2 linked regions of the Canis lupus familiaris genome follow. The protein of the gene in region 2 interacts with the protein of the main gene of each other region in a pairwise test. Links are inferred from orthologs where the notes say so. Each region holds a gene or a part of one and is shown on either strand. Other genes may lie near its edges.

The links.
Region 1: the proteins of EFEMP2 (region 2) and IL16 interact in binary tests that used the Homo sapiens proteins (3 or more experiments, as listed by UniProt). The two-hybrid records come from large-scale screens. The link is inferred for Canis lupus familiaris from reciprocal best matches to the Homo sapiens genes EFEMP2 and IL16.

The regions. Positions count from the first base shown.
Region 1 is NC_049224.1:56,966,785-56,970,597, forward strand, and holds part of IL16 (pro-interleukin-16), read right to left. Parts: intron 2,190-3,813; coding exon 1,711-2,189; intron 1-1,710. UniProt on the Homo sapiens protein: Interleukin-16 stimulates a migratory response in CD4+ lymphocytes, monocytes, and eosinophils. Primes CD4+ T-cells for IL-2 and IL-15 responsiveness. Also induces T-lymphocyte expression of interleukin 2 receptor. Ligand for CD4.
Region 2 is NC_049239.1:51,895,827-51,898,442, reverse strand, and holds the end of EFEMP2 (EGF-containing fibulin-like extracellular matrix protein 2), read right to left. Parts: intron 2,495-2,616; coding exon 2,375-2,494; intron 2,288-2,374; coding exon 2,161-2,287; intron 1,895-2,160; coding exon 1,699-1,894; intron 822-1,698; coding exon 660-821; 3' UTR 518-659; downstream 1-517. UniProt on the Homo sapiens protein: Plays a crucial role in elastic fiber formation in tissue, and in the formation of ultrastructural connections between elastic laminae and smooth muscle cells in the aorta, therefore participates in terminal differentiation and maturation of smooth muscle cell (SMC) and in the mechanical properties and wall integrity maintenance of the aorta.

The sequences.
Region 1 (3,813 bases), on a different chromosome or scaffold from region 2:
ACCTGTGGGCTCACAGGGCCAATGGTGCATTTTTGGCTCAGTGATAGGTCTGAGTTGATTGCCTAGAAAGGAGAGAATTGGTCTTCTGTTGAGGAAAATAATATCCTGAGGGTCATTTTGGTGGTGGCGGTTTCATCCTGATGAGTTACAGGATGGGAAAGATTTGGGGGTTGTCCTGAGAGAACCGGGAGAGAGGGAACCGGGAGAAAGGGAGGGACAGCCAGGGAGATGCTGTTCCCTGGGGCCACGGAGAGACGCGTCCAGGGAGAGAGCCCCAGAAATGGTCACAGGGACTCGAGTGAGGTCCAGCCTTGCTTCCCAGTTTTGTCCTTTCCCTACTGGGACTCCCACTCCCAGTAGGAGTGTGTCATGTGGTTTGTGCTGGCTGGGCAGGGCCTGCTGGCCACGTGGGACAGAGCGGAGGCACCGGAAAGGGTGCTGCTGACCCCGGCAAGGGCGGCGGAGGAGGCCGGACAGCCAGCCCCAGCCCCGGGAGGGCTGCTCGGAGAAAGTGCCCACACTGGAGCCCCCGCCGGCAGAAACCCGCGTCTTCCTCCAGCCCACTGGCCTAGGCACACCTGCTGCCCGCTCTGGCCGGGGACCCCCGGGGCATCACTGAGAAGCCCCGCGGCCCTGCAGACCTGTCCTGGCAAAACTGCTCCTCCTTTTCTGAGTCTCCAGGAAAAAGTGAAAAGCCTGGCTTCTCGGCTTCCCTGTTCCTCATCTGCCCTTCCGGACCCACGGGGAAGCACGACCTTTGCTTCAAGCAGGAGGCAGGGGATGCACCCACCTGGACCAGCCCATTAGGCACAGCCAAGCAACCACATCCGGTGGCGCTGGGCTGGGCAGGACCCCACTTCCCTTTCAGTGGGCTGGCTTCCTCCTCCCATCACTTCCCCCTCCTACACAAACCTCCCCCACACTGCACCCTGGGCTTCTTCCCCTCCTGGTTCGTCAACTCCAATTACAGGCGGTCAGGGGACGTCCCGAGGCCACATCACCACCTGCCTGGCCACGGCAGTTCTGGGACCCAGGCTGTGAGAGGCAGGGTCTCCCAGCGCTCAAGCCGCTGGCCATGAGGGCTTGAGCTCAGCCAACTCTTTCGGGGGGTGGGCACCTCACCCCCAGGGGGGTAGGGCTGGACTAGGGCAGTGGCTGTGTAGTGCTCAGCACAGGGCCCGGGCATGCAAATGGCCCACAGTGCAGCAGCTGCCCAGCCAACGGCCTGCCTTCCCACAGGGGTGGCCTGCGGCTGCAGAGGAAGGAAGCCAGGTCTTGAACAGATGCTGCAGGAAGGAGCACAGCCATGAAGGCTCGTGGGCCTGAGATTCCACCGGGCATCCACGTAGATGGCACAGCCTGTCTGCCCACCCCGCACCAAGGTAAGCCTGGAAATGACCCCCCACACACGCCTCTCAAAAGCAGTAGTAAGCTCCAGTATATTTTAGAAGGGAACCCAGAAGCCAGCCAGCAGGAATGGGGCTTCAGCTTGGGATCCGCCAAGCTTCGAATCTGCACGGTCCGCCCGAAGCTTGAGCTGAGCCTCTTCTCTCCAACACAGCAGGGCAACCTGCCTCCCCCGTGGCTAACGCTGCTGCTTGAGCTCAAGAACGACCGTGCAGAAGATACAAATAAACAGGTAGCAACAAAACCACAATTCTGGGCTCTGGAGCTCAGGAGAATGTTCAACCTGTGAGATGCCTCTCTTACCTGGCCACACGTGGGCAAGGTGTGCCCAGAAGGGCACAGGGGGTCCTCTCTCTCTTCCGGACTCTTCTGAGGGTCACTGTCGCTTTTAAAATATTTTCTGGGAGGAGGCTTGGGTTTGGAGGTCGTGGGTTTTCTCACCAAAATCTCAAAGGATTTCTTCAGTCTCAGCGGTGGGTGGCTGTCCGGCATCCCAGGGAGGGGTGGGCTCTCCTGGGGCGGCCTAGACAGAGCCACGGGAAGGGCCCCTGGCTCCTGCCCCAGGGACAGGCTGGGGCTGTGGGTGGGGACCTCTGGGTCCGAAGTCAGCTGTTCACAGCCGCTAATGGGACTCCCCCCGGGGGACCCCGACATGTAGCTGCTATCACTGCTGGAGCGGATCATGACCTTCTGAGCTCTGCGATGTGGGGGTGCTGAGTTCTTTTCTCTCTCCTTCTCCAGGGTCGGCCGCCCATGCCAGCTACTCTCCAGCCTTTTGACACCTGCAATGGAAAGACAAGGGACTCCCACAGCTGAGCCTGAAGGGCAAACATACTGTCTGCCATGCCCCCAACTGGACTGCTCCGGGCTGCACGCCGCACCCCCAGGCTGTCTCCTTCTCATCTGAGGTCACTTTGGATTCAGAGCCCGGGATTCATGGGCTTGTCCCCTGCAAGCTGTAGACTTCAAGTTGGGAAAATGGCTCAAATTGCTGAGTCTCCATGTGATCGATATGGAGACGCATCTCCAACTTGCCCATTGAGGAAGGGGTTGCTCTCGCCGCTGTGGGGTGTGCTGGTGGCAGGTGTCTGCCATTGTCAGCTTCTGCAGGGACTGCCTACAGGGAGCCACCTCACCCAAGGGGCAGCTCGTTTCCAGGGACCGATGGGGGGACTGATGGAGATGGGCTCTAAAGGAGGAGCCATTACTGCCAATCAGACGATTCTTTTTTTTTTTTTTTTAAGATTTTATTTTTTATTCATGAGAGACATAGAGAGAAAGAGAGGCAGAAACACAGGCAGAGGGAGAAGCAGGCTCCCTGCAGGGAGCCCGACATGGGACTCGATCTCGGGTCTCCACGATCACACCCTGAGCTGAAGGCGGTGCCAAACCGCTGAGCCACCCAGGCTGCCCAAACCAGACGATTCTTTTTTTTTTTTTTTTTTAATTTTTTTTTTATTTATTTATGATAGTCACAGAGAGAGAGAGAGGGAGGCAGAGACACAGGCAGAGGGAGAAGCAGGCTCCATGCACCAGGAGCCTGATGTGGGATTCGATCCTGGGTCTCCAGGATCGCGCCCTGGGCCAAAGGCAGGCGCCAAACCGCTGCGCCACCCAGGGATCCCCAAACCAGACGATTCTAATGTGCCATTTAGCTGCCAAACTCCAGGGGCTGGCTGAAGCTGTGTATCAGGTCACCTCCCCCACTGCCCAGCCCTCTGCTCTCTTCCCCTTCACAGGCTCTGGTTGCTAGGACCCTTCCGAGGTAACATCCTACCAAACACTGTCTCACAGTTGACTCCCTGGGGAACCCAACCAGCAACACCCCACTTTCTCACCTATAAAATGGGAATAATATTCCAGGGCCACTGGGCTTGTTTCAGGGCTCAATATCAAAGACAGAAAACACCTGTGAATGTGTGTTAAGCCTTGTACCAAGAGGCTATCATTTCCTCCAGCTGAGGATGAACTGAGCCTCCTTCTTCCCTCTCATCCAGCCTTTCTTCCTGGGTTATTCCCCCAACACGCCTATTCTCAGGACCAGGGGACACCCACAGAACCCTGAGAGGCTGTTTTCTCTAGCAGGAAACTGTTCCAGGTATTTCGTTCCTAGAATCATTGCTCAAAGGAGTGGGAACAGACTGAGGCCCAGCCTCTTGCTCAAACTCCAGCTCATTCTGGAAGGCCAAGAGAGGAAGGAGAGCCCCAGAGAAGAGAATCCTAAACCTTAGGACAAAACCAAGGTCAGCCAAGCTCACAATTCAAATCCTCTTTAAAGGAAAAAAAATTTCTTATGCTTTATCTTGACCATAAAATAATGCATCCTCATTAGAAAAAATTCAGTCATAAGGGTGCCTGGGTGGCTCAGTCTGTTAAGTGCCTGTCTTCTGCTCAGATCACAATCCC
Region 2 (2,616 bases):
AGATGGAGTCAGTGAGGCGTTACAACTTTGAATCTAGTTTATATCATCAGAGTTCCCTGATAGGATCAAATATCCTTCCATAATAAGTTCTGTGTTTTGGAAAAGAAATATGTGGAAAGCACTAATCTTAATTGCCTCATTTTATAGATTGGAAAACTGATGCCCAGAAAGAATCTACTAGGGTTTAGTCAAATTGATAGTTTGAGGCCAAACTGGGATTAGAACCCAAGGCCTCCAATGTCTACAGTAGAGTTATAAACCAAACTCCAGTTCCTGGGCTGGGTCCCTGGAGTCTGTAGCCTTATCATCTCCTCCATTCTCAGACCGATTCTGATGTGCATGGTACATGGATCAATCCTGGTCTTGGGGACACAGTTCCCAACTTCTATCTATGGGGCACCCTGAGCCCGAATGGAGATACCCCCCTTTAGGTGATTGGCCTGCCTCCCACAGCCTGGCCACTTCCCCAGTCCAGGGGTTCACTACAGTGTTACCCACCCACCTCAGCCACCAGGACTCCTTCTTTCTCCCTTTATTGCCTTTCTCTTTCTACTCTTCACAACAGCATCTGCCCTTGCAGCCGAGCACAGTCATCCCTGAGCCCCAGGCTCTTGGGCCACAGGAAGCCTCTCCCTCCCTGAGGGCTCCCCACCCCCACCTCAGAAAGTATAGGCCCCCACGAAGACGGTGAGTCTCAGTACAGAACTGGCCCGGTAGCTCATGAGGGAATTCATGGTGACCATCTCCAGATCCAGCACGTACTCCCGGGGGCCCGTCACAGGCCGGGCGAGGACCAGCATGGCGCTGACATTGTTGATTTGCTGCAGGGCATAGTGGGTGGGGGACATGTAGATTGTGTCAACCTACATGCCAAGACCCCTGCCCCAGCCTCACCTCCCCATCCCATATCTTGAGCCCACAATCAGTTGGCTGTGAAATGGAGAGTCCTAGCAGGCTGTGACCCCAGGCTCTCATCCAGCTCTGATACCCTTGACATCTTGTCACTGATGCACCCAGGCTCCTGCCCTCAGAAATTTCCCACTGGTGCTCTTCCCACACTTTCCATCTAGTTCTTTTGTCTAATCAGGGTCAACTGATGATGCAAGGCCAGGTGGGAAACTTTTGGGAGTGGTGGGGTCTTTGGTGACCTGGAGCTGGCTGACTTCCCTTCAGAGCATCCAATTGCAGAAAGAGAAAACAAGGACTAATATCAGATAAACCCTTGGCCCCCTCTCCTCGTGAGTCATGCCTGGATCTCTCCCTAATAGCTCCACCAGCAGCGAGCTGGATTCTTGGATGCCAGACCCCTGCACCAACCCCTGCTGCCTCTCTCTCCAAGGCCCAGCTCCATCTGCTTGTGTTCCCCAGACCCTGTTGTGTCCTGTTACCTGGGCAGGCTTCTCATGCCAGTGCCTTGTTCTAAGAGTGAACAAATCAGAGGCCAGATATGGAAACCAGTGCCAGGACTCAAACCCCAGTGTCCAAGTGCCTCATTGGAACTGCATTTAACAACCTGTAGTTTGTTAGTTTGTAGCAAGGGAATTTAGAATACCCCTACCTTTCTGCAGAAATTCCACCTCCTGGGGGGACAGGGCTTTGAGAAAAGGGGTAGAGCCAAATCTCCCACTTAAGGTTTTCTGGAATTCAGTTTTGGATTATGCATGTCACTTGAGGGGTGCAATTAGGGGAAAGCCTTACCCTAATGTAGAAATCCCCTTGCGAGTTTCCTGCACGGATCTGAAAGGCATTGTAGGCGCCAGGGTAGACAGAGGTTGCTTGGATCTGGAACACATCGGCGGGCACACTCCGCTCTGAGGTGATGCTCATGTAGCGGTGCACAATAGACGAGGGCTGCTCCCGGCACAGGGGGTTGGAGGCCGGACAGAGGCAGCGACTAGAAACCCCAAAATGGGGACACAAATGAGGTCCTGGCCTATACCCCAAGTTTGGTCCCATTCCTAAAACTAGGTATCCCCAAAGGATTCTCCCACTCCTTCTAGAACTGTTTGCATGGTTTAGTCATGAAAGACTACAATTCCCATAGGCCCTGGAGCACTAGACAGCCTGCACAGCAGCCAGTCAGCCACAGAGCCCTCTGAGAGTTGTAGTTTCTGCGGGCGGGGGGTGTGGGGGCGGGTGTCTGGTGTCCCATGGACTCACTTGTCAGACACCTGGACGTAGGGTTCCACGCAACGGTTGGTATCCACACAGCGGTAGCCTCCATGGAAGTTGACACAAGTTTGGGCCTCAGAGCACTGGTGCGCGCCTGACTCACACTCATCAATGTCTGCATCAGGGGAAAGGGGCTGGAACCCAGATGTCAGGCCACCAGCCCCCGATACCACCCTACCTGCTCCACTGGGGCAACCTGTACCTTGGCAGAGGCGTGTGGCCAGCAGCTGGTAGCCCTGCGGGCAATGGCAGGAGAAGCGGCCAGGTTCGTTGACACAGCGGTACTGGCAGAGGTAACTGGAGTAGCTGCACTCATCAATATCTGAGGAAGAGTGGGGATGAGGGCTCTGGGCCAAGGGCAAGCCTCTCAATTCATTCCCACGAATGAATTGAATTTACAGAGAGAGCCTGGCCATATGTTAGGCTCAGTATGGAAAGACAGGG